3 linked regions of the Rhinolophus ferrumequinum genome follow. The protein of the gene in region 2 interacts with the protein of the main gene of each other region in a pairwise test. Links are inferred from orthologs where the notes say so. Each region holds a gene or a part of one and is shown on either strand. Other genes may lie near its edges.

The links.
Region 1: the proteins of CEP76 (region 2) and DZIP1L interact in binary tests that used the Homo sapiens proteins (3 or more experiments, as listed by UniProt). The link is inferred for Rhinolophus ferrumequinum from reciprocal best matches to the Homo sapiens genes CEP76 and DZIP1L.
Region 3: the proteins of CEP76 (region 2) and AKAP7 interact in a two-hybrid assay, tested with the Homo sapiens proteins (3 studies listed by BioGRID). The two-hybrid records come from large-scale screens. The link is inferred for Rhinolophus ferrumequinum from reciprocal best matches to the Homo sapiens genes CEP76 and AKAP7.

What each region holds. Positions count from the first base shown.
Region 1 is NC_046300.1:37,317,666-37,324,683, forward strand, and holds the start of DZIP1L (cilium assembly protein DZIP1L), read right to left. Parts: upstream 3,058-7,018; 5' UTR 2,987-3,057; coding exon 2,984-2,986; intron 215-2,983; coding exon 1-214. UniProt on the Homo sapiens protein: Involved in primary cilium formation. Probably acts as a transition zone protein required for localization of PKD1/PC1 and PKD2/PC2 to the ciliary membrane.
Region 2 is NC_046302.1:5,540,068-5,547,865, reverse strand, and holds the start of CEP76 (centrosomal protein of 76 kDa), read right to left. Parts: upstream 3,089-7,798; 5' UTR 2,748-3,088; coding exon 2,685-2,747; intron 1,631-2,684; coding exon 1,475-1,630; intron 792-1,474; exon of another isoform or gene 750-791; coding exon of another isoform or gene 717-749; intron 477-716; coding exon 395-476; intron 1-394. Other genes in the region: PSMG2 (proteasome assembly chaperone 2), read left to right, coding at 3,339-3,395, 6,394-6,565. UniProt on the Homo sapiens protein: Centrosomal protein involved in regulation of centriole duplication. Required to limit centriole duplication to once per cell cycle by preventing centriole reduplication.
Region 3 is NC_046286.1:78,641,156-78,648,579, reverse strand, and holds the start of AKAP7 (A-kinase anchoring protein 7), read right to left. Parts: upstream 3,082-7,424; 5' UTR 2,858-3,081; coding exon 2,605-2,857; intron 1-2,604. UniProt on the Homo sapiens protein: Probably targets cAMP-dependent protein kinase (PKA) to the cellular membrane or cytoskeletal structures.

The sequences.
Region 1 (7,018 bases), on a different chromosome or scaffold from region 2:
GGTCCACATCCAGGGCGCTAATGCGCCTCCAGTCCATGCTCTCATGGCGAGGCTGGAACTTGAAGGTAGGGAGTGTGTAGGCCCCAAAAAGGGAACCACTGAGGCCCTCAAAAGTGGTAGCAGGGGACTGCATGGGTGAGGGAAGCCCTGGGCTGACCACTGCAGGAGGGTGCCGCCAAGGCCACGGCAGCAAGCAAAGGAACTGAGAGAGGGCCTGGAAAAGGAGAAGAGATTCCAAATTAGGCAAGGCATGTGGGCTGCATGTACCCTACACCTGGCCAGCAACAGCCTGAGTGGGGTGAGGTGAGGGACCTGAACAACAGCTGGAGCATGCATGGTATGCACTGACATGGCCAGAGCCATGGAAAGCAAGGGCGTGGGCTTTACAATAACACAGATGTGGATTCAGATCTTCAGCCTTGGGCAAGTCCCTTCACATCTTTAAGCCTCCTAGGTACATTGGGGATCACGGGACTCACTTTGCAGGTTTGTGGTTAGCAAGGAGGCAGATGAAGCACTCGTCTAGTGCCTGGCACATTGTAGGTCCTCAGTGAACGTCCCCTTGCCCAAGTCCACGGCCAAAGGTCTTTGTCAGGGGAAAACTGTCAAATGTATAAGTAGGTCCTTCCGCAACCCTACATTGATCTCAGGATAACGTCCAACAACTTGCCATGGGTGGCACAGCCACCTAATGTTCACAACATTCCCTCCTCTCCTCCTGCAACTACAAGATCATAGGGGACAGGGGTAAGCTACATTTCCCAGTTTTCCTCACAGTAAGGTGTCATCATATGACTATGTTCTCTCTAGTGGAATGTGAGTGAAATGATGTCCAATACTGCTATTGGGGAGGGCGCAGGGAGGGGAGCAGTGGTGCTAAAGAGAGTGGCCAGGTCTCTGCACGCAGATTGGGCTCCATCCACGATGGTCTTTTTTCTCAAACCCAATCACAATTTATCCTACCAATAAACTCATACAGGTGTGCAAAGCTGCTTGTGCAAGAATTATCATTGTAGCATTGTTTGTAATAGCAAAGTATAAGAAAAAGTACCAGAAAGCAGAGAACAAAGTACAACAGGGGATATAAATGTTAGCTCTATACAATGAAATACTTTGTGGCTATTGATGAAAATAAGGCAGCTTTACATGGAATACTGATCATACATACTCATATACTCATAAACATACTTTCATTTCTGTTTAAATGATATAATATAATCACATTAATGATAACTTGTGAAAATAAAGGAGCTATGTATATCTCATATGTGTGTGTGTGTGTGTGTATATATATATATATATGTTGTGTTTCCCCCAAAATAAGACCTAGCCGGACAATCAGCTCTAATGCATCTTTTGGAGCAAAAGATGCATTAGAGCTGATTGTCCGGCTAGGTCTTATTTTCAGGGAAACACAGTATATATCTGATATCTATATCTAAATAGATATATCACATTAAAATAGTTGCCTATGAGGGAGGAGGAAAATGGGAGTAAATAAATGAATAAATGAATGGTGCATGAGTAGAAAATGGATAGCTAGAAAGAGATAGATGATAGATAGAAAGATAGATAGATAGATAGATAGATAGATAGATAGATAGATAGATAAAGATAGACAGGCCTTACACAGACCAATAATGATTATTTTATATATATATATATATATATATATATATATACACACACACACATATATATGATTCTATTTGTTATTCATGTATAATACATAATTAAATAAAATACAAACACTAAGTTGATTTTATATATATATTATATATAATATATATACATATATAATATATAATATATATATGTATATATATAGCCTCATAAGCATAGACTATGTCTAGAAAAATAAACAAGCTGTTACCAGTTACCTCTGGGAATGGGAATGGAGGTGGAGGACCTTTATCTTCCACTTTCCACTTCTCTATACCATTCGAAGATCTTTGTATCCTCATCAATTACTTTTAAATTTTTTTTAAAGAAAAAGATATAATTTCTGCCCTTGAAAAACTTAGAACATGGAGCAACAGACAGTACATGTGATGCTATTTAATCAAATTCTTTCTAGATCATGTCATTCAGATATTTAAATGCAATAGAAAGTCAGAGAAGAGAAAGGTCATTGACCTCATAAAGGAGAAAGGCCTCGAAGAAATGATGGGGCTGGGTTTGCAAAGAAGGGAAGGGCCTCCAGGAAAGGGCCTGCCCTCCCTGAGCCCTGTCTTCATTTGGGAAAGGCGGTGATAGGCCTGCCCTACCTGTCCCCCGGGTGCAGTGAGAACTGGAGGAGATACAAGGGAAAGGCACTCAGTAATAACACCAGCTGTGGTGCAGGAAGCACCAGCCTCTGTGCCAGCTACAAACTCTAAATACAAACCTACAAACAGCTCTTAGCATTCCCATTTTACAAACAACTAAACTGATGTCTGCAGAGGTTCAGTAGCTTGCCCCAGGTAGGGAGGCCAGGGTTGAAATACAGTTAGAGGTCCATCTGGCTCCAAAGCTTGTGGACTGTGAACTCCCCAATATGATCCTTGAGGCTATTAGTCCTAAAAACTTGCTTTGATCAGATCATCACCACTTATCCCTCAAACTCATTCATTCACTCACTCCCCTCTCATTTACAGCATGACTACCTGGGCCAGGCCTAGTACCAGGCACTGGGGCAACCAAGGTGTATTAACCACACACCATCCCGCCCACCCAGGAGCTCAGTGTGGCTCCTTGTTGCCACAGTACTGAGTCTAAACCCTAAGCCTGGTCTGGAAGGCTGCCCACACGATGCCACTGACCCACCTTTTCCATTTCATCTCCTATTCTTTCTTAGATACTCTTCCCCAACACATACACCAAAAACAAAACTCTCCAGCCACAAGCACCCATGGCCATAAGGAGAAGACCAGCACATTTCTACTTAACATAGTGTGTTATTGAAAAAAAAAAAAGGCAGGGTGGCAGGTGAGATGATACTCACCATGCTCAACTTCAAGCTGCAACGGTGTCACCAGAGCCTCAGAAACAATTGCCACAACAAGCCGTGTCTTGGAACAACAGCAGGTTACCAGGCATGCTGTGGGCAAGGGTAACAGGACACCTGCTTCCTGTCCTCCTGCAGACCAGGAGCTCACCTGAGAACGCACTGTTTAACTATTTAAGCTTTGGCCTGAGATGTTTGCCCACACTCCTCTCTCTAATAATCTGACTAAGAACACTCCATCAGCAGCTCTCTCGGCTCTCCTCCCAGCACTTTGAATGCTCCTGCCAGCCTCTCCCTCGAACAGTTTCCCTCCTCCTTTAAGGCAGAGTGTGCCAGTGCCCCCATGATACTGGCCCGTTCACCCATGATGCATCTCTCCCTGCACACTCTCCTCGGAGTTAACTCACACATAACCACAGCTTCAGCTTCCACAGGCTGGGCCTGAGCCACTCCCAAATCTTTCTTACTGGCCCATCTGTCTCTTGGGACCTGTAGACCAAAATTGCCATTACTGATAATACCAGGAATTACATATCCAAATTCCGATGCAGGAAACGTGCCAGGTATAAAAGAAACCACAGTATAAGCTTGATGATAAATGGCAACTGATTCTCCATCTTAGTGTCCAAAATACAATCAGGCAGCGATTCTCAAGTGTGGTCTCTGAACCAGCAGACCAGCATCACCTGGGACCTCGTGAGAAATGCAGCTCTCCAGATTTACTAATTCAGAACCACTGCTTTAGGGAGTGTTGGGACAGGCAGTGTTGGGGTGGTGGCAAAAGGGGAGTGCATGCCCTGTTTAAAAAGGACAGCCACCGATGAGCTTCAGCCATACAGGAATGAATGTGTTCCTCGGGAGCTAATTCCACAATCATTAAGAAGATATTCAAAGACCTTTATGAACTGTTTCCAAACTACCTTTCTAGCTGCATCTCCACTTACCATATTATTTGCTGTCCACCCATTCTTATGTCTGGGCTACTTATTTATAGGCACTGTTTTTAAGTGTTTTGTAAAGAATAATTTGTGTAATCCTCAGAACACCCCCTTGAGGAGATACTATTATTATCTAAGCCACAAAGAAGTGAAGAAGCTTGTCCACAGGTACAGGAGGCAGGATCCAACCCATGCAGCCTGGTTACTGAGTCTGAACTCTAAGCCACTATGCCATGCTGCCTCTTGGTGCAGAGGGCCTTCCGCCATGTCCTTTTGCTCCTACTGAAGGTGAATGCATGCTTTCAAGGATTTGCTCATACATGATCGCTACCCAAATCCCTCCCAGGCCCACAGTCATAATTCTTGCTCTTCCCCAGAGCACAGAGCATACACTCCTTTAGTCGCCCTCACCATATTCTGGTCTGATGTGGGGTAGCTGTGCAGCAATCATTCGTCTATCCCATCAACAAATGATTCATAAGCCCGTACTAAGTGCCAGGCACCGTGATTGACAGTCCTGATTAACGGTGATTCAGGCAACAGTTCCTGCAATTGTTAACAGAAAGAGTTAACAGTTCTGGAACTGTGTGCTCCACACACAGTTATAAGGCTTTACATGTATTATCTCAGTTAATTCTCACAACAACCCTGTATACGGATGAAGAAACTGAGAGATGAACAAAGAGGGTGAAATTACTTTCCAAAATTACACAACTAGTAAGTGATGGTGTCTGGCTCCACAGTTGGTTCTCCAGAAAGACAGAAAAATACACAGAAAGTGCACAAAATACACAGAAAAGTACACAGAAAGGACGAGGTGCTATGGGAGCACTAAGAAGAGGCCATAACAGGACATTTCTGTCTCCTTTTTCCCCACTCCCCCTCTCTCTCTGTGAGGTCCACAAGGGCTGAGACCTTGGCTTATTCACATCTGTTGTACTCCAGCCCCTAGCATATTACATGCAGCCCAGATTTCTATTGAACTGAGCAGAATTGCCAAAATCTTAGAATATCTGCCTCACATTTCTACATTCTTGGGGTCTTGGAGAAATGAGGCTATGAAGAGCAAGAATTAAGTTATAGAATAAGAATGGAGTTAGGAGTCCTTCATTTGGACTCCTGGGAGAGAAATGACATTCAGACTTAGTAAAATGGTTGATTTGTTGACCATCTATGTCCAGAGCTTAATTCCATGTGCCACTAATGAAAGCTTAGAGTGCAGGAGCCCTCGTGGGTGGTTTTCAGTGAGAAGCCCCGGTGCCCACACTCGCTGTCAAGTTGTGGTCACAGCGTTCTAGCTTGCTGCCTGAGCAGCCCTAAAACCCTCACGTTGACACTGAGCACAGTCTCTTAATACCGAGGGTCACAGCCCCAGTCCCAGCTATACAGAATTCTGAATTAGGGGTCTGATTTCATGAGGTTTTACTGAGCCCCAAAAGTATCATTCCTGTCTCCCACTGGAACCCCAAAGGTCTGATTCTCAGGAGTCCTACCATTCTGACATCAAAAGGTGAGCAGAACTGTGGGGATTTGATGAGTATGACAATGACAGCAGCCATCATTTATTAAGTATCTATGTGCCAGGCACGGTGCCAGCCTTAAAAAGTACTATTTCTAGTTGTCATACAGCAGGGTATGTAGCTTTGATTTGCCTCATCTGAAAAAAATGTAAAAATTGAGGCTCAGAAAAGCTAAGGGACCTTCCCCAAGTCACTCAGCTACTACGTATGAAACCAAGATTCAAATCAAATTCTGACTCCAAAGCTTTTGAATTATGCCAAACTACCTTCCAATGATCATGATGAAAATACATAAATTATTTCCCATTATAAAAATTACAGTACCTGAGATTTCTTGACCAAACTGCACGAACTGAGAGAGTTTAGAGCAAATCACAACAGGATCAGAGCTGGAGGCCTTCAATTCTCCTTGTATCTCAGCAGACTCAACTCAGCAGCTTGTAACCAGATTAGGAAGGGCAGAAGACAAAGCCAGATGAGAATGCTGCAAGTTACCTAGAAACCACACACCCAGGAGGGCAGGAACACCCTGCCTTCTCCAGAATGAATTAGCAGCAGACTGTTTTTCCCATCTGGGAATAGGAACACAGGCAGAAATGACTCACTGTCATTAGGAAATCTGAAGCTGTGTTAGCCACCCCTAAATGTTTCAATGGGGTCCAGGAAACTTCCCAATCCTAGACCAAGGTCATAAGTTAATGGGAGCCAAAAGAACGATATTTATGCTAGCATTCCAAAATCACTTCATGGGTGAAGAGATCGTTTCTACCTAGGGCAATCCTATAGCCAAGAGAGGAAGCCCATCTACCATCCTAGCTTTGCATATTCCCAGTGATGGGGTGTCCACCACCTCTCAAGGCAGTCATCCCACTGTGAAGCAATTCCTGGAGACTTTATGGTTCTGAAACCTGCCCACCTATAATCTGTCAAAGATAACTTCCACAAAATATACCAAATAGCCGATTTTTAAACAAAATTCTGGCTGACTTTTTAATATAAATTGACAGCTAGAGTACACTACTACCGCTGCCATCTTCCGGTCTCTTCTGCTTCTTCAAGAATGAAGCCAAGAGAAGCACACAGAGAGAAACAAGCTTCCAAGGCTTCTGCCAGGCAATCATTTACAAGCCTGCCCTGGCTCCCAACTAATTTCAGTGGTGCCTGCCCCAGGGAGCTCAGGCATGTCATTAGTGCTAATTGTTGTGGCTGCCAAGGTAACCTTCACACAGTTTGCAAACAGGCTGTGCACACACCACAGGCAAGGGAGCGGGGGAGACCCCAACGGAGATGAGCGCGACCCAGGAGCTCTTCCGGGGCACTGCCGTTACTTCTCTGATTCTCTGACTTCTCAGACTCTCCGTTACTTCTCAGACTTCTCTGATTCTGTTGTTTTCTAAAGGGAGGAGTCCGCCTTTCCACTCTTTCTTTCCCTTCGTGGGAGCTGCCCCCACTTCCAGAACAGAGAGAGAGAGAGAGATCTACCCCACTAGGCACACAGCTCTCCCTTATAGCTGGCCTCCATTCCCAGAAACTTTAAGGAGATATTTTTAAAAGACAGTGTCCACAGTTTGGTC
Region 2 (7,798 bases):
AGAGCCAAGGTTTAGGATAACTTTGCTCTTTAGTTGCTATCCAACTATCCATTCCTTCACCTCCACAAACCAACTCAATTATCTCAACTCAGCAAAGTGTACTTGTGAGATAATTACATAGCCACTAAAAAAACACAGTTGTAAAATTTTTATAAAATATATTACTAAAACATGAGAAACAGGCGGTCCTATTTTTGCTTCCACTTTGCTATACATTAAATCTTCTGATATCATGCAAAACAGAATTGAAGCTTTTTGGATTAGTCACAAAAATATAAGTATTTCATTCTGGAAAAAAAAATTGAAGTGTTTTCTATCAAATACCAAACACTACAGCACGTCTATTCACAGTACTATCCACAAGTAAATTAAGGTTAAAAAGAAATACACATACTTTTTTTTAACAACGTTGATTGTTTATCAGTAAAACAAACTGATTGTTTTGGAGAGGAAGGAAGTTCTTGATCAACACTGTCCTAGAAAGGCAGAAAAATACAAATCAGAAAACAAAAATTATAATTAAGAAATGCCAATAATGGAACTAAGAACCAAACCAAAAGAAGATAGAATAAAGCCCCTTATTTTCCTCAAACAGTTCAAATAATGAAAAGCCTGCAAAAAAGGTGATGCAACTAGTCAGTCCTACAGTTTAATGTTAAGGAACTAAACTGTCTTCAAGCAATGTCCACAGAATGCTAAAAAAAAATCCTTAATACCTCAAACAAGGTCAAACTTTCTCTAAACCTCATATAACATTTGGCTTATGATTGTACCATGAACTGATTTTAATAAGGAAGTGATATTCACACACAGCAGAAACTGTTATTAGGTCAATTTTTATACCAAATGGGTTTACAAACCTCAAAAACCAAAAAAACGAGGCTGTATTAAAATACTTATCCCCTGGTGTACTATGAAGTCCATCCAAATTCTACATTATATTTCCCAGGTATTGAGGTCACAATTTCTCATTATTGCCTCATTTTCAAAAGGCCTACTTACTAATTTGTACACTGAGAGGGAGGCTATCATTCCATTACTGACCTATTTGTCTGAAAAGCTTTAAAGATTCTTATGCAGACAATTATTTTCTTAAAGGAATTGATAATTTCTTAATCATAGATAATATTGTCCCGAGTGTTTATTTTAAAAATAAGCCTAATTTTTAAAATTATAGAATATTAGTGAAAAACAACTAGGTTATGTTTGACTAAAATATATATACTTAAAGTTACAGACTTAGAGAATAACAGGAGAAAATTCTGTCACTGTAGAGAGAGAAGAATGGTATATATGTACAATTTCATTGATACATAATCCTACATTGAATCTACATTCAATTGTAGAATTAGTTTATACTTGAAACAAGGATATTACTAGGCAAAGCTACCATATTTTGAAGTGGTTTTACTAAAAGAAGAGGCCCCAAAATATGCTTAGACTCTCAGATTTTCTCCTCTACAAGCTTACTCACAGTAACAAAATTAAGTTCTTTCATCACATCGTCAATGATTCCACGACGTCTAAGAGCTTTGATCAAATCTTCTGTTGATAACTGTTGTTGATCAGGTGCTAATTCTTCCCGTATTGTCTCAGCAAGGATTTCTCTTATTCTGCCATGGACATCCATCTACGTAGAAAACTCACATTACAATTCACATTACAAAGCAGACAAATATTGCCACTTAGTTCATTTCTTTCTAAAATACTGACAAAGAAAAGAATAATAGGAGAGTACACTAAAATCGGGAAGGCTTCTCAAACAAATAATAAATGTAAAATTGTTACCAGAATTCAAAGATAATAAAGGCGAGATTTTTAAAAGGAAAAAAAATTTTTTTAAATGAAAACTTATACTACAAATTCTAGAAATAATCTCTACTGGTTATCTACTACTTTTGTTACTATTTCCCCACAAATAACATTCAACCAAAACAATCTTTGGAGAAAGAGTATAGTATAATCAAAAGAACACAGACCGAGGGGAGGGGATCAAAGTATGACTTTCACCTTACAACTTATTAGATGTGATCTTGAGTTAACTTATTTACCTTTTATGAATCTGGAAAAAATAGTGCCGTCAAGGTTATTGTGAGGCTCAGATAAAAGACGCTAAACACTTAGTACAAAGCCTGGCATCCGAGTGCACAATAAACGGTAGGTTTTATTACTTCAGCTTAATTGCATTCAGTTGAGCACCTCAAAGATACAATGTTCTTCTTGAGCTCTGAAGTATCACAAATGCTTTCATTACAAATCCTTACTAAATTCTTTCATAACTTCTTTAAGAATTGTCAATTTGGTTCAATATCAATGACACCTGAAGTTCCACCCTTAAATTAATTCTAATTTCTGACCTTTGAATATAAACCTGCTCCAAACACAACTTATACTCGATATGACTTCCAGAAGTCATTGGTACACGCTTCATTTTCACAACTGTCCCATAATACTAACGCCGTTCTATCACCTCAGACTCTTACTAGCACTTTCTGAGCTCGTTCTCATTATCGAGCCTAGACAGTTCCTCTGGCTTCAAACCCGAAGCTTTGCACATCCCACGCTCTGCGTCTCACAGCCTTTGCTTGAGTCCCCAGCAAACAGGTGCCACAGTCGGCCGGGACAAGGGACACAAAGCTGGACACTTGGGGCCACTGGCGGGAAGAGCGCCCGCGGCCCCTCACCTTGCTCAGCTGCTGGTGGATAAGCTGCTTCAGCTCAGAGGCTTTCTCCGGAGGCAGCGACATGCTGGGGCTGGCGCCTCAACACGGATTCCCTTCGCTTCAGGTGCCCCAGCCGGCCCCAGAACGTCAGTGTGGGGTGAGCACAGAGCCGGCGCGACCACTTTCCTCGCGCAGCTCCCGCGGGGGCGCGACGCCGCATCAAGCCCGGCGCTGAGCGTGAGGCGGGGACGTGGCTGCGGCGGCGCCCAACTGTCGTTTTCAAACGGCAGCGGACAACCAGGCCTCGGAGCTGTCCCCCGCTCTGCCTGGTCAACTCCACCCACTCCTCTTCCCTCGGGGTCCCCACCTCGTGACCTCAGCTCAGCCAAACTCCTTGCCTTGCTAGTGTCTCTGGATGCGCGCTCTCCGCTCCCATTTCTCCCTCCCTCGAGGTCCCTTTCTGTTTTCTGGAACGGCAGATACGTGGACGAGCCTCTCAGGACCTCGCGCCGAGGGCTCGAAGGACCCAGTCCGCCTGGCCCCGCCCTGCCCGGGTCGCGCGGGGTTCTAGGGGCTCGAGCGTGCAGACCTTGAGAGCTCGTGGTTCTCGCTTTCTCGCCGCCCCGGTTCTTCCCAGGCCGGCACTCATCTCCTTCTTCCCACTGCAGTGCGACCATGTTTGTTCCCTACGGAGAGTCGGTCCCGGATCTCGCGGGTTTCACCCTCCTGATGGTGAGTCTCCAATTTCGCGAACTGGCTTGAGGCTGCTACCTCTCGGGAGGCGCCTGCGGTACCGCCACCCCAACTCGGGATTTTTCGTCCGGCCCTGTGAGAAAGCGAGTACTTGTTTCTATTTCGAGTTTTAAGCCTGCGCCGAAAATGTAGAGAGGTTGTCGCTGGAGGCGGCGGTCCAAATAGAACCTTTGTTGGCGCTATCACCAAACCTTGTATCTAAGTCTCCAGTTTGTGGTCTTTGTTGACTGTACAACGTAATGTGTTTGATGTTACCGATACGTTGTACATATGTGGTGCGGGACGTTCTCTTTGCTTTTTATACTAGAAAATCTTTTTTCAACTAGTTTTAGCGTCATTCTTAAGCTAGCAAGTCAGTCATTAACCAGAACATTACAATAGAGTAACAAGGCAACTTTTGCCAGTAGCTAACATATGGTTCTATCGCTCTTAAAATTGTCCATATTAATTCATTGTTTCAATAAACATTCTATGATGTGACGATATTAGAATAACACTAGGCCCATGTTCTCAAAGAGTTTACAGTCTAATAGGAAACACGTAAATCAATAAAGGCAATATATGCTAGGATAGAAGTTTTAAAAAGATACAGAAAGGCCTTAGGACTTATTGGGGGAGGGACACATGGCTCTGTTCAAAGCGTCATATGTGGAATCTTAAAAAAAAAAAAAATAGAAAGAAAGAAAAAAAAAAATAGAAAGAAAGAAAAAAACACCAAACTCATAGATTACAGAGAACAATTGGAGAGGTAGAGTGGAAGGGTGGTTGGGTGAAATGGGTGAAGTAGTCAAAAGGTACAAACCTTCAGTTTGCTAAGAGAGTAGATATTAAAAGTTTTTATCACAATAAGAAATTGTAACTGTGGTGATGGATATTAACTAAACTTATTGTGGTAATCATTTCACAGTATATACATATATCAATCATGTTATGTATCTAAAAGTGATACAGTGTTATATGTCAAAAAAGAATGATGGTAATAGAAAAATGACTTTTGGTCCGTTTTCATTGTAATGCATGAAATATCAATGAATGCCAAAATTAGTGTGCGATAGTGTTTGAGGAAGGGAATTTTCCATAATTTCACAGTATCTCCCTGAAAAATATTTATTAATCTCAAAATGGAAAAAGTACCTTTGCAGGAGCTACCTGGAGAAAAAAATGAAAAAGAAAAGCTTCATAGAGAAAGTAATGTCTAAAAGATTATTGGTGGTAACCTTAAAAAAGTTATCAGTGGAACAGTGAAGAGGGAAGCATATTAAAGTGGGTTGAATAAATGGGGAAGAGGTGGAGACGTGTATACGTATATATTTGTTCATTAATTCAGAGCTAAAGTTCCTGCTTATGTTTTAGTGGACAACCGTGGGGAATTTTGGCTATGGAAGGACACCTGGAAGTGAGGTGGTAGCTAGGGGAGTGTGTGGGATCAAGAGACGGTTTTTTACAAGGAAAGATATTAGAGTATGTGTATATGCTGATGGGAAGAATCCAGTAGTGAGGAAAAGATAGATGATACAGGAAAGTGAGGATCTAACGAAAGTAGCAAAATCGTTGAGAAGGGAAAGGGGATTACAGTGGATAACCAGCAATCAATGACAGCAATGAGAAGTGGGAGACCACTCTGAAGGACGCAGAAAAGTATGCAAAGGCCAGGAAAAAAAAATAGAATCAATAAAATTTAGATGTGCGTTAGGTATGGTTGGTAAAGGAAAAGGAAAAAGTGTCCTGGTTTAGGTAATTGGCTCAATAATTGTTTCTCTTTTCTGAAATACAAAATATGAGGACAATTTTGGGCAAAAGTTTAATTTTGTACATGTTGGATGTGAGTTACCTGTGACATAATCATGTGGAGATACACATTAGGCTCTGGAGTTTAGATGAGTATTCCAGGCTGTAGCTACAGATTTGGCAGTTGGACTATTTGAAGTCATGGGGTGTGTGTGTGTGTGTGTGTGGTGTTTTTAGTGTGAAAATAAGCTCACTCCAACATTTAGGCGCTAATAAAGCAAACAGAAAGAGGCCCCAACATCACTTTTGTTCCTACCTCACTGCCCTCCTTTATCTCTTTCAGGTCTATAAAGCAATTCTTTTCTTGACCACCCTATTTAAAATTGCAGCCAAACATATACACACACACTGACAGTCCTTTAATTTTTCTCCACTGCACTTAACACTGTATATTTTACTGGGGTTTTTTTTTGTTTGTTTGTTTACTGCAGGTAAACTACTCTCCCTAGAATGGAAGCTTTACAAAGGCAGGAACTTTTGATTTACATTCCCAGTGCCTAGAGCAACGATTGACATATAGTAGGTGTTCAGTAAGTGTTAAATCTGTAGTCTCAAAGGTGGAGGAGGTCCCTGCTGGTACCTTGCTTGCAACTACAGGAGAGTCAATATGTACCATGTTTCCCTGAAAATAAGATCTAACTGGACAATCAGCTCTAACGTGTCTTTTGGAGCAAAAATTGATATAAAACCTGGCCTTATTTTACTATAATATAAGACCAGATATGATATGATAGGATATGATATGATAGGATATGAGATCCGAGGTACCGGATCTCATACAGCGGTACCTCGGTTTTTGAATGTGATCGCTCTGGAAGACCGTTGGAGTTCTGAAACGTTCGAAAACAGCCAACAGCTAGGCCTCAGGATGTTGCACTCAGCGGAAGCTGCGTGACATGTTCAACTTTCAAGGCATGTTCAAAAACTGAAGCATTTGCTTCTGGGTTTACGGCGTTCATAAACCGAAATGTTCGTCAGTGTTTGAAAACCAAGGTACTACTGTATTTTTGCTCTGAAAGACGCATTAGAGCTGATTGTCCGGCTAGGTCTTATTTTCAGGAAAACAGGGTAGCTATGATGCGCCTGAACATAACATTCAATACTAGTGCTGTGATTATTGTCTTCTGTCCAAACTTTAAAGTGCTGCTAATGCCAATGCCTTAATAAACACTCTTTAAAATGATTTCAGCCAGCAGTATCCGTTGGAAATGTTGGCCAACTTGCAATAGATCTGATTATTTCTACACTGAATATGTGTAAGATTGGTTACTTCTATACTGATTGTCTTGTGCCAATGGTTGGAAACAATCCATATGCAACGTCAGAAGAAAATTCAACAGAACTCAGTATAAATGCTGAAGGTATGTATGACCTCCGTATATTGTATTCTACTACAAAGTAGAGTTGTTTTAAATTAGACATAGACTCTGCAGATACGCTTTTGTAGCAAACATGGGTAAGCATCACTAATACCAGGGAAGGGGAAAAGAGAATTTCACTGAGCTCAGTCCTATGTGTTTTGTGCTACCTCATCTAAGCTTCAGTCATCCTCTCACATTATTATGGAATCCACGATACTGTAGTATCAGTAGTGCTTGGAGAGATTGAGTTGCCTAATGCTGTAGTGTAGGCTTTTCCCATGCCATAAAGTGCCATAATTCTCATTGGACTATCAGGCTTGATTAATTGGAACACATTTTATATTGCACTGATTACTGTTTATTTATAATGTGGAATTGCTGAGTAAGGGGAAAGCTGTTGATCATGAGCAGCTAGTTGCTTTGTTTGATGGCCAACTCCTCTGTTGGCCTTAGTCTTCTTTCACCATTTTAAGGTCATAGCCAGAGCTGATAGAGGAGCATGAAAAACCATTCATGCAGGTGATAGAGGAGCGTGAAAAACCATTTAGTGGTGGATTGAAAGACAAAGAAGTATTTTGTTTTTTGTCTGTCTTATTAACCATGTTGTTAGCTTGTGATAATGAAATACACTTTCAAGAAATAATATTGAAATTTCTGCAGGAAAGATGGCTTTATTAATAAAAGATGGAATTTCAGTTATTGCCTTAAAGAATAAAGGACTAAAAATATTAGCACTACAATTTATATATTTCAACTAATGATAACAGTTGCCATTTATTATTACCTATAAGTTGAATACTATGTGTATTTACATGTACTAATTTAATCCTCACAAATACTCCGTAGGTAGTTTTATAGATGAGGCAACCATTGCACAGAGAAGTTAAGGTCACATGATTAATAATTGGTGTAACTGAACTTCTAATCAAGGCACTCTGGCCCTTGAGACCTGCCTCTTAAGCACCATGCCCCCTGCTAATGCAGCTTCACTCTAGTGGAAGACCCAGTGGATTTCCATTAACACAAACTGACAGCACGTCAATTGGTATAGTTCTTTAATCCATTTTATTCTTTTTTAAGATGAGATATTTTGAAATAAATTGTAGATATCATGACACTTCACCTCCAAATGTGTAAGTATGTATCACTTATCATTTAAGAACATTTTCTTACATAGCTAAAATATCACATTTCACAATATTAGCTTTCTATACCTTGTCCATATTCACATTG
Region 3 (7,424 bases), on a different chromosome or scaffold from region 2:
TGAAAGAACTGCGGGTCATCCTATAGAGAGAGCAATGTTTCTCAACAGGGTTCAAATCTAGAAGCCTTCCTCCAATTCCCTAAGCTTTAGTGTTTGGGCAAAGGCTAACAGACATGAATCAAACACATCCATCACAACTACACGTTCTCTTACAGACGGTATAAATATTTTCCTTTTGGAAAACTGCCTAAAATAACTGACCCTAAAATAAAGCCTTTATACGATAAGTTGACTGTTTTGAGTACTTAAATTCTGGTCTAACCATAGTTAAAATAAAATAAAATTCTTTTGTACAAATCCAAATAAAAGTAATGCTGTTAAGTGCACTAATAACAAAGATGAGGTGAAATTGGCAAACTACTACTACTACTACTAACAGCAGCTAACATTTGAGCATGTACTACATACTAGGCACAGCCAGCAGCACTTTACAAATAGTAACTCATTTAATCCACACAACCATGCTATCAGGGATGTACTATTATTTTACTGATTTTACAGACTAGCCACTTAAGTAACTTGCCCAAGGCTACAGCTAGGTCTTGGGGCTAGCATTTAAATCCAGTTGCTCTACCACCAAAACCTGTTCTTTCAAGCAACATGCCCTACTGCCTCTTAACATACACAGTTTATAGCGCTGTAAATTGAGGTAACCCTTTCAGAAGGCAGTGTGGCAAAAGATCAGGAGCCATGAAAATGTTCTTCTCACTGATATATCTGGGTATCTATCACATATGTCAACATAGACTCAACACAGCTTTATTTAAAGAAAAAAGAAAAAGTGGAACAGCTTAAATGCCTAAATAGGGAAATGGTTACACAAAGCATACTCACTCTAATGACAACAAATAATAATGGCTATGCAGACTGCAACAACAACAAAATAGTTTGTAATATTAGCTTTTTAAAAAGCAAAGATAATACTGCATATACTCTATGATTACAATTACATAGGAAAAGCCTAAAAGATATAAATTATTTCTAAATGCTGACATAGCTGTATTCAGTATATTTGCATGTTTCCACTTTCCACTATTCAAATGTTTTAAATAGAACTAATATTACTTTTATAAGAAAACAATTAATGCATACATTTAAAATATATTATAAAACTATACATTAAGTATACACTAATATTCAAATATAAATGCACTCCAGCAAAGGACTTCATCGTAGACAGGCCAATAGAGGAAAAAAGGATAGATGGTTTGCTCTTTGTCACACAAAATGCAAGTTTCCTGTTTGGATAGTAAAATAAGGAAGACTCTTCACTCTACTAGGTATATATAGTCCTTCGGAATCAATAGAAAGGGTCAATACCATCCATGCTAGACCTGGCTTACTGACTAAAAATAGTAGCATCTTACATCTGGGTAAATGCGGAGAGCTGTGTGATAATCAACAAGTTGCTTAAACCCCATGCTTTAGTTTCCTCATCATAAAAAGAAAACAAAGTATAATCCAAATTAAGAGAGAAATGGACAAAATAAGTTAATATTTGAAAACAAATGTAAGGAAACAGTAATCTGGAAAAACATCTTAAGGTTTGTTAATATGAATAAGGAAAAGACCCAGATATGCTACCGGTATCTCAAAAACTCAAATCCTCTGAACCCACCCAGAACGCCTTATCATTTCATCCCCATGATAACGGTAAACGTATCTGCACTAACAGCTCCTACTGTGTTTCCCCGAAAATAAGACCTAGCAGGACCATCAGTTCTAATGCGTCTTTTGAAACAAAAATTATAGTAAAATAAGACCGGCTCTTATATAATATATAGTAAAATAACACTGGGTATAACAATATAATAATACAATACAATATAATATACTACCGGGTCTTATATAAGACTGGGACTTATATTAATTTTTGCTCCAAAAGATGCATTAGAGCTGATTATCCAACTGGATCTTATTTTTGGGGAAACAGGGTTCAATATACTACAATTGAACATTTTAATACTTTTTCTAGTTTTTGTTTTTTGTTTTGCGTTTATACTATAAAGACCACAAAGAAGAGCACTTTTTCTCTGATTAGCTTTCGGTCCCTTTCACCGAAAGTCCATCTCCTAACACGCTCTGTGCAAAGTTCAGTTCACAGTAAATGCTGATCTAAGTTGTAAATTAATTCTGGGCCCTACTACGGATTTGGCGCCAGATTAGTAAGGTTATTTCTACACCTAGAATGAAATCCTAAACGAAAAGTGTCAGGTCTACAATGTTTGTGACATAGGAAAAAAAATAGAGCTTTCCTGGGTTTTGATGACCACACACCGTCGGAGGTCGTGCGCTGACCTGAAGTCTGTGCTAAGGGTCACAAGATCAGAAAGCGAGAATTAAAACTGAAACTTAGGCTGGGTTCACACCCCTCTTCCCGTCGCAACAACAGTGCGTGCACTGATCACACCCGGTTGCACTGGGTTCTTCGGTGCAAAGGTGAGATCCGTTAAGATGGAAAAAGAGACTTGGGGGCGGGCGAGGGGTCGCGTTCCCCGCGCTGGGAACGCCGGCAGGAGCCCTCCCAGAAGCCGGGAGCTGAGCAAGACGCACGCCCCCCGGCTCCTGTCTCCCCACCCGGCCCGCTCCGCAGCCCCCGCTCACCCGCTCCGGGGTGCTCCATGGTTCTGGCGCTAGCGGGTGACAGGTCTCGGCTGGCAGCGGAGGCGGCAGCCCCGCGCAGCGGCCAGGGGCGGGGCGCCAGGCGGAGGCGGAGGCGGAGGCCGGGGCGGGGCCGGGATCCGACGAGCAGCGCGCGGGGCCGAAGGACGCGGCCGACGGCTGCGGCTCCGTTCGTGGCGCCTGGACCCGCGTAGGCCCCGAGCCGCAGAAGCCGCAGTCCCCGCTGGAGCTGCATGTCCAGGCCCGGCGCCTAGGACGAGCGGAAGGGGCCGCCCCGAAACGCCGCTGGTATCCGGATTCGGGCTGCGCGAAGGAGTGGAGAGGGGTGGGGAGCCGTGACCCCGGCGCCGTGGAGAGCGAGGGCTCCTCTCCGCCCCACAGTGCTCGGTTCCCGCCTCCGCCCTGCAGCGGGGCGGCCCCCTGAGGCCTTGGCTGCCCTCAGTTATTTCCCGTGGCTCCGCGTTTCCAGTCCCAAGCCTTGAAGGGTGAGATTGGGACCCAGCTGAAAGCATTTCCTGGCCTAGGATCTCCTGGGGATCTTTGTGTTTAGTTTTGCAGAGAGCTTTCAAAACACAGAGTTCTGCTTTCAAAATATTTGGAAAGAGCGAGTAGTACAGGAACGACACCTTGGTCATTTGTAGTTAGATATTTATTTTGCTTTTTAATTTTTAAGTCAAATTGCAGCAGTCACACATTTTTAACAGTGGTTTCATGCCTACAGCTTAAATGGAACCAGCTACTAGTTATTGCAAATGAAAGCACTGGTTGTGAATGAAATGGAATAAAAAGCAATTTAATTATTTTTTTTAAAAAAAAAACCTTTTGACCTTGGAACAGAAATCTACTGAATTTTTCTTTTAAGTACAAAGAAACCATGCACTAAGAAAATTAGGTGGGTGCATTACTCAAATTAATCTAGCCTCTATTTTTGAATAATGACGCTTGGCTTATCTTGAATGCATCCTAGAATGCAAATGGAGGCAAAGACGGCAGCACAACCACAATATTCATACACAAGAAGTCATAAAGCTTGTTACTCTCACATTAAAATAATTCTAGCAAGTTGAGTATTTGATTTGCACACCCATAGCAATTATGGACTGATTAGAGAGGTACAATAGATTCCCTTAATTATTTAATGCCTGAGCTCCCTCCTGAGGTTGAGCAGGTGAATAAGAGAGGTCTTTTTCTCAAGGAATTGATCACCTAATAGAGAAAGAAACATAAATAACTGCAATAAATAATAAACTAAAAGCTGCAAAAAGTAATCCACATTAATATCGAAAGGGATCAGAATATGCCCCCCAAAACACGCCACTTCTACATAAGGATTATTTTGAGTTGAAGGCAATTGAGAAACAGCAGAAACAGAATGCTCTGCCTTCCCCTTTTGGCCTAAAAGCAGGCCATAAATTTCCCTTTGTAAAGGTGACAAATTTCCATAACTTATCTGTATATCAAACCTTGCTAAACAATACTTACCATGTATTTCCTAGTCACTATCTGAAAGCAGAGACTGTTTTAACATCTTCATATTCCCAAGTGATTAGAGGTTACTCAGTGAAGAGTTGTTAAATGAATAAAACTCTCATAAGTATCAGATATGTCAAAAGTACAGATTTGTCAAAAAGAAATAAAAAGAAAGCAATACACCCAAACAAGTTTTTTAAAAAAGAAATAATATCGTGAGTAATCTTACCATGTTTCCCCAAAAATAAGACCTAGCCGGACAATCAGCTCTAATGCGTCTTTTGGAGCAAAAATTAATATAAGACTCAGTATTATTTTATATTATACCCAATCTTATAGTAAAATAAGACGCAGTCTTATATTTTTTTGTGTATTAATTTTTCCTCCAAAAGACGCATTATTGCTGATTGTCCAGCTATGTCTTATTTTCGGAGAAACATGATAACGTCCTAAAGCTTCACCAGCCTGAAGCGAAGAATTAGGTGATATTAACATTAATATCTAAATTTTATAGATAAATCTACTTGCTCATGCCAGAGCTCCAGACCCTTGTGAAATCCCCCCAAAATACATGTGGGGTTCCAAATGGTATCTGACATTACTAATGAATCATTCCAGGTTGTCACTATCCCCAGTCTTTGAGCTCCCCTGGTCCAGTCTCCTTTCCAGGAAGTCTGCTGCCCTCTTCAGACATCAGCTGATTGGTGGATTACTTGGCCATGATGGATCCTCTCAGTCCTCAGGATAACAACTCTTGCAAACTAGAAGACCAATTCCTCCCCAGTGGATTACATTCTGCCTAAGGGCTAGGGCAGGGTGGGTGATGTCACAGATTATTTGGACTTCTAAGAGTGACAGAATTCATTGAGATAGCATGTTCCGTTACACACAACAGCACTATTTCTCCCAGGAGGACAATGTACCCTGCCAAGGTGAGTGGATTGAAAGTTTTAAAAAACAAAATTCAACTGAGTAAATTTTAAACATCTTATTGGGTTTATTAAATGATTCATGAATTGATCGGCATCCAATCTGGCAGATAGAAAGGAGCTCTGAGGAGCTGTACAAAACGAAAGATTTATAGGCAGCAGGGAGCAGGAAAGGAACTATCAAAGAGAGACATACAGTAAAAGACAAAAACCGATTGAGTAATATTGGGAGTATAAAGTTAAAGATGAAGGCATTGATCTTAGGAGAGACAGGAGGGAAGCAAGTTGGAATAGATGGATCCTGATAAGTGTTTGGATGGGGTCTTGGTTAAGACAGCTACTTTATAAAGGTGTCAGTATTCTTGAGGAAAACAGGTGAAGTCATTTGCTGGGAGAAGAAGACACTGAGGGAAGAATCTTGGTGATTCGAAGATTTTATAGATGTACAAAATAGGTCATAGATCATTGAAACTATGGGTTTGGATGAGGTTGCCCAGGGAAAATGTGTGGATGTAGAAAATTAGGCAACTATGAATTAGCGAACACTTTCACCATCTTTGTGATGACAATCTGAATCATTTTTTTTCTTGTGCACTTCATCAGCTGCCTGAATTATTACATACTTACTACGTTTCTTCCATTCTGAGTAAGAATAAGAAATAATCACAGTAAGAACATTTTCATAAAGAGCATGATTATTTTTCTTCAAACAAAGGATCAACTTATAATGAGGTATATGCTAGTTTGTATCATTACTCAGAAGATAACGGTGTTCTTAAACTGTTTTGAGATAATCTCTGTTTTTACACACTGAAGTAGTTAGTGCTCCTTACCGCGTTTTGGGCAAATGCCAAATTGAAAGATTTAGGTTTAACAACTCTAATTAGGCTTCCTGAATTTGATTAGTCCTGGGGATTAGTTTTTCATTTGATAGTTTATCTTACAAGATTCCTAAGCTCAAAACCGTATGTTTCCTTCGTTAGTTTTTGTATCATATACATCATGTAAGCTATCATTATACTTTCCAATAGACCATTCTATATTAATGGTTCGTTGTTTTGTTACTCTCTTGTCAGATTTTTTGAATACTAAAAGAGAAGTATTAAGAGCTATGTGAAATTCCACTTTCTGAGTTATCAGGGCTGTATATTATAATTTGTTGGTTTCATTGTCCTCAATGTGCTAGAAAATATTGATGCAAGTTGTCGTTAAATTTCTTATTGTCCATTTTAAATGCATGTCATAATTCTTTCATTCAGGGAGAATACTGACCCACATATATTAATAGGGTATTAATATCTGGGTTAGTAGATTTCACGTCTTTTCAAATTTCGTATTATTGTGTATTTGACTTAAGTATTCCTTGGTTTTTAGTTCTGTAATTGATATTTGATATTTCAAACAATATCACACAAGACTTCACTGGCAAGACTACCCTTGTTTGCATGCCAATCAGAGTATAACTGATAATTACAATATGAGGTTTTCTTTGAGTAATGTAAGAATCCGGTGACAAAAGAAATGGAAAAAAAACAGCAAAAGTTGAAAAGTTTCGGAAAGGAATAGAATCAGAATTAAAGGAAATTTGAGTCTATTCTCCCTTACACAGTAAAGAATTTCCTTACAGTTATCAATGTGAATACATTCGCTACTTAACAGCTCTTTGCCTAATATTCTGTAGTTTAAATTCAGAGTATCTTTCATTGTCTATTGATCTAGCTATAAAATGAAAGAAAGCCAAAATAATTATAACAAAATGCAAAAATTCCTTCATCATTAGATATCAACTTCCCAAGATCCTCTGACTCTTTCAATCTTCATCACTTTGTAGAAACATAGTGTATTTTATTAGACATAATTTCTATATATAAATAAACAACAGTTTATGTCACTTCTATTTAATATTTTTTCAAATAGCTATTGTTATATATAACATAATTTACAGTATATTATGTTTTGTTGTATTATACCATCATTACTTAAACTGTCCCTAGATCTTGGTCCTTTTGGTTATGTTTACCTTTCCAGTCAAATATACTTACACATATACTGGGATTCTTTTTCTTTTTTTTTGGTGTTATTTTCTTGATGCATACATCAAAAGTAAATTTACCAAATTAAGAGAAACTTGTTTAATTTTTATGGCTTTTTAAAGTAGTATATCAGATTGATCTACAGGAAAATTAAGTAGTAGTGTAAAAGGCATCTCCTCCCCCAAAGCCCTCGCTTTGGATTTATTATTCACTTGGTACATTCTAATTGTTCATGGTTCTATTTCTTAAATCATCACAAATGCTGAAATGTTTCTAACGGTCAAATATGTATCAAGTGCCTAATATATTGCCAAGAATTCACTGGGCCTAACAAATAGGCATGATTGTGCACAGGCAGCATGGAGGAGTG